Linked DNA regions of Drosophila melanogaster. The protein of the gene in region 1 interacts with the protein of each later gene in a pairwise test. Each region holds a gene or a part of one and is shown in the gene's direction. Other genes may lie near its edges. The genes, in order: gammaCOP and Sec10.

The links.
Region 2: the proteins of gammaCOP (region 1) and Sec10 interact in a two-hybrid assay, tested with the Drosophila melanogaster proteins (one large-scale study listed by BioGRID).

Annotation. Positions count from the first base shown.
Region 1 is NT_033777.3:31,570,592-31,576,492, forward strand, and holds gammaCOP (coat protein (coatomer) gamma), read left to right. Parts: upstream 1-1,551; 5' UTR 1,552-1,647; coding exon of another isoform or gene 1,648-1,687; 5' UTR 1,688-1,854; coding exon 1,855-2,565; intron 2,566-2,662; coding exon 2,663-4,133; intron 4,134-4,209; coding exon 4,210-4,395; intron 4,396-4,453; coding exon 4,454-4,606; intron 4,607-4,664; coding exon 4,665-4,795; coding exon of another isoform or gene 4,796-4,852; 3' UTR 4,853-5,116; downstream 5,117-5,901. UniProt on the Drosophila melanogaster protein: The coatomer is a cytosolic protein complex that binds to dilysine motifs and reversibly associates with Golgi non-clathrin-coated vesicles, which further mediate biosynthetic protein transport from the ER, via the Golgi up to the trans Golgi network.
Region 2 is NT_033777.3:24,133,055-24,138,340, forward strand, and holds Sec10 (secretory 10), read left to right. Parts: upstream 1-1,776; 5' UTR 1,777-1,859; coding exon 1,860-1,892; intron 1,893-1,952; coding exon 1,953-2,857; intron 2,858-2,926; coding exon 2,927-3,514; intron 3,515-3,572; coding exon 3,573-3,762; intron 3,763-3,831; coding exon 3,832-4,149; intron 4,150-4,221; coding exon 4,222-4,320; 3' UTR 4,321-4,484; downstream 4,485-5,286. Other genes in the region: Tsc1, read left to right, coding at 1-394, 452-609, 736-865, 923-1,275; Npc2f (Niemann-Pick type C-2f), read left to right, coding at 4,999-5,146. UniProt on the Drosophila melanogaster protein: Component of the exocyst complex involved in the docking of exocytic vesicles with fusion sites on the plasma membrane.

The DNA of each region.
Region 1 (5,901 bases):
ACTGACAGCATCAGCCTTGTGGAGTCACAGGCCACCAGCGGATCGGGATCTCTACTTCCATCCTAGCGAAACACCAAACCCTGAGTATCCCATCCCCGCCCGCATTCCTTGCCATTTGCACGCAAAGCTAACTGCGGATTACAGTCGAAGTTCGATGGGGGACAAGAAGATTCCGAAAGTATACACCACTTGCTACTGCTCGTCGAAATCATTCCTGATGTACATTCATATATAGGTAATCAATTAGGAAAACTTTGAAACACGTCTGTTTGGAAATCAGAACAAACCCAGTCTTGGTACAAGAGGTACCCCAGAATGAATGACGCTGTTGTGGGGGAGCGTTGCACAAATTGGAGTTCTACTGTTGGCTGGCATCCAGCCTGAAACTCACCTGTGGCTCACTCCTTGCGTGCGCCGACGTCTCAACTCTTGCTCCGACTTTGGCCTTAGGTTCGCTCCGACTTGGCTTCAACTTGGGATTCGTGGCTTTGTAGGTGTTTCCAGGGGCCACAGCTGATGCCTTGACAGCTACTAAATTCTCCGCCCGTCTGACGCACACGTTCCTTGTCCAATTTTGGGCACCAGGCGGATTTTCCTCCTGGCCGGCGCTTATCGCCTGGCCATAAATTCATGCTGTAGGTGTCTCGATCTTTTCGGTTTCTTTCTTTTTTGGCTTTTTAGCGTTTTGGCGGAGGTCCTCGCCTCGTGGACACGCAATGAAGCTGTTTCTTCGTGCGCCGGAATTTCCCCGCGGCATGCAAAATGCAATTAACGGCACTTGCAGTGCGCCGGAAATTGACAATTCAATATAATGGGTTCCTTGTTTTCGCTAATTGGTGGTGCTTATGCACGCATAAATTAAGTAAACACAATACGAAGTCGTATTTAATTGGTCAAAACAAACTAGAGCTGACAAAAAAGCTGGCGTCCATTTTGTTAACAGGATCAACACTCGATTAAATTAGGAAAAGTAATCGGTACTTAACGGTCACGAGATCTATCGATCAGAACTTCCCCTCCAGCAAATCATAAATGTACTAATAGCGTATATTATAAATATAAACGAAGTTATTATCTAACTAAAAATTCATCGCATTGATCAGCCTTCGCAATCTTCGTCACAATTCCGGCCAATGCCCATTTAAAAAACGAATCAAACTAATGGTAAAAAATTATGAAAATGTAAATAAAATTTAAAACATTATTATATTCATACAATTTCTTAGCAATTTCGTTATAAAGTTAACGTGGAGCAAATTCAAAGCTTAGCTATTTTTCCGCCCATTCATAATCGATAATCTATCGATAAATACAATCGAACCAGTAAGTGAATCTCAACTAGTTCCTTTTCAATCCAGTGAAGAAACAAGAAATTTTAAGAACAAAAAAAACTACCAGATCTCGGTGTCGAGTTAATTGAAAACTGAAAGTTATAATGTGCAGAATCGGCGAATATATACTGCCTACAAAACGCAGAAAAAAGGTTGTCTTTTAAAGATAAGAACAACATCGGAGCTATCGATACTTAACTGGAGTTTTCACATCGATAACAGATGAACCAACTGGGCACCGCTGAGTGACGTGTAAGCGCAGCCAGAAAACCATTTCAATTGTTTTACCCACAATTTAACCGAAAGTTGCAAGACAATGGGTTCGTTCCGCCGCGAGAAAGATGATGAGGAGGACGGTAAGTAGCAAGCTAGCACCTGGAGCCAAGTTGTCCGCCGACCAGCGAAGCCAATCGAAGACAACCCAGTTGCTTGAAGGTGCTCCGCTGGCACAGACACACACTCACACACCCACTAACCCGACAAAGTCGAGAAAAATCGAGGTTTCCCTAAATTGACTGAGAACATGAACTATTTTTCCCTTACCTCGCACAAAAAACATCGCGGCCATCCGTCAGCAGGACCGAGCAATGCGTACCAGAACCTGGAAAAAACCTCGGTGCTTCAGGAGACGCGCACCTTCAATGAGACGCCGGTGAACCCAAGGAAGTGCATCCACATCCTGACCAAAATCCTGTACCTGATTAATCAGGGTGAGCAGCTTGTGGCCCGCGAGGCCACCGACTGCTTTTTTGCGATGACGAAGCTCTTCCAATCTAAGGACGTGGTGCTGCGTCGTATGGTATACCTGGGCATCAAGGAGCTGAGCTCCATTGCCGAGGACGTCATCATCGTGACTAGCTCGCTAACGAAGGATATGACCGGCAAGGAAGACCTGTACAGGGCCGCCGCAATCCGGGCCTTGTGCAGCATCACGGATAACACCATGTTGCAGGCCGTGGAGCGCTACATGAAGCAGTGCATTGTTGACAAAAACGCGGCAGTTTCTTGTGCTGCATTGGTCAGTTCTTTGAGATTGGCCAACACTGCCGGCGACGTGGTCAAGAGGTGGGCAAACGAGGCCCAGGAGGCTTTGAACAGCGACAACATTATGGTACAGTACCACGCGTTGGGTCTGCTCTACCATATCCGCAAGTCGGATCGGCTGGCTGTCTCCAAGTTGGTCAACAAGCTGACCAGAGGATCTCTAAAGAGTCCCTATGCCGTTTGCATGCTGGTAAGTGAAGTCTGAACCCAAACTTTTCTTAATGAAATGGATATGCACTTATTCCCTTTAAAGTGACATCTGACTAATTTCGTTTTACATCCCCCAGATACGCATTGCCTGTAAGCTGATCGAGGAGGAGGACATTCCCTCTGAGGAGCTTTCCGATTCACCCTTGTTTACGTTCATCGAGTCCTGTCTGCGCCACAAGAGCGAGATGGTCATCTACGAGGCGGCCCACGCCATTGTCAACCTCAAGAACACCAATCCGCGAATGCTATCGCCGGCGTTCTCCATCCTCCAGCTTTTCTGCAGCTCGCCGAAGGCAACGTTGCGCTTTGCGGCTGTGCGCACGCTTAACAAGGTGGCGATGACGCACCCGGCTGCGGTGACCACCTGTAACTTGGACCTGGAAGGTCTCATCACGGACTCCAATCGATCGGTGGCCACTCTGGCCATCACTACGCTGCTAAAGACCGGCGCTGAATCCTCGGTAGAGCGTCTGATGAAGCAGATCTCCACGTTTGTGGCGGAGATTTCCGATGAATTCAAGGTGGTGGTCGTGCAGGCCATTTGCGCTCTGTGCACCAAATATCCGCGCAAGCACACAGTGCTGATGAACTTCCTCAGCGGTATGCTGCGCGAGGAGGGTGGCCTTGAATACAAGACCTCCATAGTTGACACCATCATCACGATCATCGAGGAGAATGCGGACGCCAAGGAGTCCGGTTTGTCGCATCTGTGCGAGTTCATCGAGGATTGTGAACACGTTTCACTGGCGGTGAGGATTCTTCACCTGCTGGGCAAGGAGGGACCCTTTGCGGCCACACCCTCCAAGTATATACGCTTTATCTACAACCGCGTCATCTTGGAGAGCCCTATTGTGCGAGCAGCCGCGGTCACGGCCATGGCCCAGTTTGGAGCATCTTGCCCAGCCTTGTTAAGCAATATCCTCGTTCTGCTGGGTCGTTGCCAGATGGACCCGGACGACGAGGTGCGTGACCGTGCCACCTACTACCTTAGCATTCTTAACTCGGAAAGGCCAGAGCTGTACAAGAACTACATCATCGAAAGGGAGAACTGTTCTCTGGCTCTGCTGGAGAAGTCGCTGGTCGAACATCTGAATGGTGACGTGGACACACGCTTCGATATTTCCATTGTGCCCAAGGCGGCCATAGTTAAGCCAGTTATTGCCAACGACGTAATGCTAGTTACCAGCAGTGCTCCACGGCCGCCGAAGATCACGCGCGAGGAGGAGAGTGCTGCACGTCTGGCACAGCTGCCGGGCATCCAGGTGCTGGGCCCCATCCATCGCAGCACAGCTCCCATCCAGCTTACTGAAAGTGAAACGGAGTACACGGTGCAGTGCATCAAACACATATTCGGCCAGCACGTGGTCTTCCAGTTCGATTGCTTGAATACGCTGTCCGACCAAATCCTTGAAAATGTGCGGGTGGAACTCACGCTGCCGGAAGGATTCACAACCAGGGCGGTCATTCCATGTCCCAAGCTACCCTACAACGATCTGCAAACCACTTTTGTCATCGTAGAATTCCCGCCCGACGCCGCCAATTCCATAGGTAAGTTTATAAATAACATAAATTTTGTATTAAAATCATACAACTTTTTTCAAAACGAACTATTTCCTCATTTCAGCCACCTTTGGTGCCACTTTACGATTTGTGGTCAAGGACTGCGACCCCAACACCGGCGAGCCGGAGTCAGAGGAGGGCTATGACGACGAGTACATGCTAGAGGATTTGGAGCTGACGGTTGCCGATCAGATACAGAAAACCAGAAAGAACAATTTCCAAGTGTCCTGGGATGCGGCTGACAGCGAAGGTGCCACAGAAAGATAAATAGGGTCTATTCAATGATTAGTAATACTCTATATTTGCAGAATGGCTACAAGCCGAGGATACCTTTGTGCTGTCGGCAGTGACCACCTTGCAGGATGCCGTCAACACTATAGTCAAGATCCTGGGCTTGGGCGCTGCAAACCTCTCTGAGAATGTGCCCGAGGGTACGCACCTGCATACGTTGCTCTGTTCAGGTAGGCATCCTTCGCTTTTAGTTCTGAGATCAGTAGTACAGTTTTTCCCCCTTTACAGGAACCTTCAGAGGCGGCGCCGAGATTCTTGTGCGGGCCAAGCTGGCGCTTTCAGAAGGCGTCACGCTCAATCTGACGGTGCGCAGCACGGACCAGGACGTGGCGGAGCTGATAACGGCGGCCATTGGATAAGACAGCGAGCCATGCAGGAACCTCCTTTGGTTCCTGCGTGCTGTGAACGTAATCTGAACTCCCTACGAAACTACGAAACAGAAAGTTACGCCTAATCAAAATATAATTTGTACCTTTAAGCGACTGTCTCTGTAATAATCTTAGAGCCCTGTCCACAATCCGGCATGTGCAACATTGAGTATTGCTACTGGCCATTTCCGAAAAGTTTGTGTGGCGATGCAGCCTTCGGTGTGCATCGCATATGTTTATTATCCCCATTTAGCCTGTGCATTTAGCTTAAGTATGGAAACAAAATATTAAAAATACATGTATATGCAATGCAACCCGACCTGAAGGCGTTTATTTGGCAGGTGCTTTTAAAGTAGGACATTGAAATGATTTTAATGATTGCAAGCTCGTGGAAACCGCACCTCCAAAGAGAAATTGCTTCATAACTAGAACTTACTTTATTTTATATGGTATTTTATTTAATTATAAATAACTTATAGTTGCAGTAGCCTAGAGTACTTCTTGTTTTCCTATTTTTACAAATTTCTTTTCTCGTTTGAATCGTTTATGTTCGCTGCGTCCTCCACATTCGTCTTAAATTACAAATTAACCTTTCTCACATGAATTCATAATTTCTTGTGCTTTTGTTCGCAATCGATTCCTTATTATACATTCTCCGATTCCGACTATGCTGAATATTTTTGTGTAAAATGTATCGACGATGCAGTTCCATCAATCGTTCGAAACGCTCTTCCGTATTAAATATTTAAAATGTAAACGCACACAAGTATAAAAATAATATAGATTCGTAATAACAAATAACACACTCATGCAGTTCGCAGCAATTTCACAATGATAATTTCATTTCGTTACAACTCCTATACTCATCTCCAAATGTGTTGAATATGTCATTAGATATATGTTTATATAGTTACGAGTGGTTGGTTGTCTGTTGTGTTTCATGCGGATTTCTCGCCAGGCGAGTGGTATTCGATTGGAGATGTGCACCATCATCCCGCCTGGCCTGCTCTTCAGATTTATCCATTTTCTTTTATAATACAAACTAGAGTGCTTCTCAGCTTTCATTCCGTCTTCTTGTTGCGACGTTGTCCTCTTCG
Region 2 (5,286 bases), 7.4 Mb from region 1:
GCCAACGAGCGCCAGAACATCCACCAGGAGGAGCTGGGCGAAATGAGGGCTAAGTACCAGCACGAACTGGAGGAAAAGAAGTGCCTGCGGCAGGCAAACGATGACCTGCAGACGCGACTCACCAGCGAGTTGGCGCGCCACAAGGAGATGAACTATGAACTGGAGTCTCTGCGAGGTCAGGTCTTCAGTTTGGGAACCGAGCTTCAACACACCCAGCAGCAGGCGGACATTGGGCTGCAGTGCAAGCAGGAGCTGGCACGACTGGAGGCCGAGTTTATTATCATGGGTGAGGTGCAAGTGCGTTGCCGCGACCGTCTGGCTGAGATCGATAACTTCAGGGCCCGCGACGAGGAACTGCAGATGCTACAAGAGAGCAGCAACCTGGAACTGAAGGGTGCCTATTCATTGTTTATATGATACGGATGTTTAATCATTCAGTTTATTTATTAAGATCTGAGGCACAGCCTGGACGAGAAGACATCACAGCTGGAAAGCATGAAGCACAAGATCAGCGACCTGCAGGCCCAGCTAGCCAACAGCGAGAAGGCCATGACGGAGCAAAAGCGACTTCTAAGCACCGTCAAGGATGAGTACGAAGAAAAGTTTAAGGTAGGGCTGATATTTAAAATCGTATACTTATCTGAAATAGTTCGGACTTTTAAGAAATAGTCTGTGTTTACCAGTAACTTCATTTCAATTAAGAGTAATAAGCCTTAAAAATCGTCGTCCTTGCAGTCCGTGAACAAGAAGTATGACGTGCAAAAGAAGATAATTATGCAGATGGAGGAGAAGCTGATGATGATGATGCAGCAGCCGCAAGGAACAACAGGTCATAACACCTGTTCCCCGGACACGGACAGAACTGGTGAGTGCAAGAGCTGCTTCGCAGCTAAAGAATACTTACTATTGCATTCTCCCACAGACATAGCTTCATCCATTGAACGCAACTCACCGCTATCCACGTCGCTGGCCTCGAGCGAGAGCTTATCCGCCAGCCTACGCTCCACGGAGCTGAAGAACCTGCACCAGCTAGTGGACACGCCCACTATTCCGGATGTGCTGAACAGCATGGCCGGTGGCGCTCAGTTCGAGGACGAAGTGCGTCCGCCGGCCGTGGATCTGGCCTCCTCGGCAAGCACCGCCAGTGCCATCAACATCGTGCCGCACGCCTTGGACTTGCCGTCGACCTCCGGCGGCATCGGTCACACGCTCACCCACCCACATCCGCATCCGCACCTGCACCTGCAGCAACAGCAACAGGATCAACTGCAGTAGTAGCAGCAGACGCAGTTTGTAAAAACAAATAAGAACTAGCTTTCCTTCGCTAAACAAATGTCTATTGGGAAAACCCGCACAGAAAATTTACAAAAAAAAGTTATTGGTTCTTCATATTTTCATATTCAGTTCAAAACTGTAACTAAGGTTTAATAAATCGCTGACTCCACGCAATAATTATAAAGGTTATAAAAAATATTAATGTTTGAAATTTTAACTTGTTTAGCACATTGCAATTTGTTGTAAAAAAGTGGTTTTGATACGAGGCAATAAGTAAGACGCGCATTCATATTATAATAAACATTTGATTAAGATCAGCAAACATAAAAGCATTGTTTTATTTTATTTAATTGTAAACATACTATTTGTTATATAACAACCGCCAAACATTTAAATTTTAGCTAAGAGAGCAAACAAAAACGTAAACAAACCGAGCGACATTGCCAGCTGAAAGAAAGTGAGAAGTGTGGCAACCTTAAACGAAACAGCTGAGCGGAAGCAACAATAATATAGAAAGAAGAAGCAGAAAAGAAACGCCTATTAAATCAGATCATTTAAATACGAAAACTTAATAATACATTAAAATGCTATCCCAATACATGGAGGAGTTTGAACAGGTGGGCTCAAAGGTCACGTAGGCCCGATTATGGCTTATATTTATTAATCATAACCAACAGGAACCCTTTGAGGTGGGCGAGTTCATAGAGCGTCTGACTTGGCGCACCAACAATGAACTCCAGAACAGCGAGGACTTTCATCCTGTGGCCCTCCACGATACCTTCATCCAGACCATTAAGGACCTAAAGATCCTGCAGGAGAAGCAACAAAGCAAGTGCGAACGGCTAGAGGAGTCACTGCGCCAGGAGAAGGAGTCGCACGCCAAAAAGATTGCCAAGCTCCAAGAACGCCACCAAACGGCCATTGATGTGTTCGGCCAGCTGGACGAAAAAATCAATTCGGTGGCCGGCAAGATCATGCACCTGGGCGAACAGTTGGAGAATGTGAACACTCCACGCAGTCGTTCAGTGGAGGCCCAGAAGTTACTCAATTTTATGTCCGAGTTTTTAGCCGCTGGCCCTGTGATTGTCAACGATATTTTTGCGGATGCCGCAAGATTAAGTGAGGCCGCAGATGTGATACAAAAGCTCTACGCTATCTCGCAGGATCTGCCGCCCGGAAACTTTGCGGAATCCAAAAGAAAAATCGAAAAGAAATACGATGAAGTCGAGCGGCGGTTGATCGAAGAGTTTGCCACCGCCCAGAAGAGCGAGGACATCGAGCGCATGAAGACACTGGCCCAGATCTTGTCCCAGTTCAAGGGTTACACTCAGTGTGTAGACGCATACATCGAGCAGAGCCAAATGCAACCGTACAGTGGCAAAGACATATTTATAGGCATTGTACCGCTATGCAAGCATCACTACGAGATAATCCAGAAGGTGTTTGCCAATCCGCAGCAGGTTATGTCCAAGTTCATACTTAACATATATCAACTGAAGCTTCACCAGTACGCCATGACTAAGTTGGAGGACAAAAAAGACGAGGAGAAATATCTTCGCACCCTTTATGAGTTATACTCGCGGTGAGTCATTCAGAAGTTACGTTAAATGTCAAAATTTGCGATTACTTTCATTTCACAACCACTTTGCAGCACACTAAAATTGTCAACAGATCTTCAAATCTACATGTCCACGATCGACGACGACTTGTTACAGAAGCTGACACAGCAGATTTTTATAAAGCATTTGGCCGGCTACGCCGAAATGGAGACCAAATGCCTCACAGCCAAGTGTTCCACAGAGCTGGAAAAGTTCTATGCCAGCAAGAAACACCAAAAGACTGCAACTACTAAGGGCTTTCGGAGAAACATGGAGGTGCTGATAGCCACGCGGGCTAACATAAATATTGCTGCCATCGAGGACTATGGCGGGGAGACGTTCCTATCCGAAGAGTTGGCCATCAACATGCTGCAGGAGGCCAAGGCGTCGCTTAAGCGCTGTCGCCTGCTGTCCAACGAGACCGAACTACCAGGCAATGCTATAAAGCTAAACGATATCCTTCTTCGTTTCTTGATGCACGAGCACGTAGATTACGCACTGGAGTTGGGACTGCAAGCAGTGCCACTGGCCGAGGGCAGGGTCTTTCCCCAGCTCTACTTCTTTGATGTGGTGCAAAAGACGAACATCATTGTCCATCTACTGGACAAGCTGTGCCACACATCTGTCATACCCTGTGTGAGGTATGTTAGGACTTTGTTAATTTACATTTTATAGAATGTATAATGTATTCTTTTCTAGTAATACACCCAAGTACTCGGACTATGTGTTCAAAAAACGTATTCTGATGGAGCAAATCGAGACAAAGCTGGACCAGGGTCTTGATCGCTCTATTAGCGCTGTTATTGGCTGGGTCAAGGTATATTTGCAATATGAACAAAAGAAAACGGACTACAAGCCGGAAACAGATGTGGATACAATATCTTCAGCGGTAAGATATAAATTTAGTAAAATCGAGCTTATCTGTCTATCCTTAAAAATGTTTATTTTTCTTTTCTAGGCCTGCTTACAAGTCGTTCAGAATCTGCAGCCCGTGATTGTGCAGATTAAAAAATGTGTTGATGGAGAGAATTTGCAGAATGTTCTTACAGAATTTGGAACTCGGTTGCACCGAGTAATCTACGATCACCTGCAGACCATGCAGTTCAACACGGCTGGCGCCATGTGTGCCATCTGCGACGTGAACGAGTATCGCAAGTGCATTCGCGAGCTGGATAGTCCACTGGTCACGCAGCTGTTTGACATACTGCATGCATTGTGCAATTTACTACTTGTTAAGCCCCAAAACCTTCAAGAAGTTTGCACGGGTGACACTCTGGTAAGTGTGCGGTGCCTTTGATGTCGAGCGATAGTCTTACGTTACCATCTGTATCCACCCCACTCTATTTAGAATTATCTGGACAAGTCGGTGGTGCGGCAATTCATTCAGCTGCGCACTGATTTCAGGATCATCAAGAACACCAACTATCTGAAGGGTATTATTGAGTGAGGAGTTCGACGTCCAGAATGATTCACATTCCAAAATTTTCCACCTTCGCTGTCTACGGATTAAATTGATTTATTAAAGGGGACATTATCTAATGATGTTTAATTATGGCTTGCCATGTTCTTTAACTTTCAATTAAAGTCAAGTGGCTGGTTACTTTTATCAATACATCGCCCGCGTTACTTGATTTACTTTCGTGTATTTATAGGCGCGACTCACACGCGTGCCCGCCGCCCAACCACCCACTCTCAGACCCACACACGCCTCCAGCTACGTCACGGACTTCCCGTTTGGAAATCTTCAAAGAGATTCGCTGACCTTATCAGTTGGAGCTGAAGCGAAAGTCAGCGTTATTTGCTCCCATCGGCTTCCAGTCAATAAATCAAAGTTTATTGCCTAGGCGTCCGCGAATTATTTATTTATTTACGTTTGCCCGGAGAGTGCCAGCACTCCAATCGAAGAGAGGCCGGCTACTTTTGTTGGTACCCACTATTCTTGGTGTCAGTCACCTAATAGCCACCAAGCAAATCGTATCGCCAAAAAAAAACGTTGCCAGCCCGTGATCCTGATTAACGAACTGCTTTGTTATTGTTATTAACATTTCTTATTTGCACACCTACGCAAAATTCGTTTGGACGATATTCTAATCAAACCGCGATCAAGATCTCAGTCGATTAAACCATGCGCGGCGCCCTAATGGATTACTATCTAAAAATACTCTTGGTTATTTGCGCTGCCCACGAATTGGCCGGCGGAACGATCAAGTCTACCAGAGATGCTGTTTACAAAAAATATCTGTCCCTAAGATCTTTGCCCTTCGAGGATTGCGGTAAGTATATCTCAGGATCAGTGCTTTTCGGTGGGTCGATTCAGACAACGTATAAAATCAATTGATTTCCACAGGGGAAAAAAACGGTAAGAAAATATCTCGAGCAGTTTTCTTATACACCATGGCTTTGTTAAGGTATG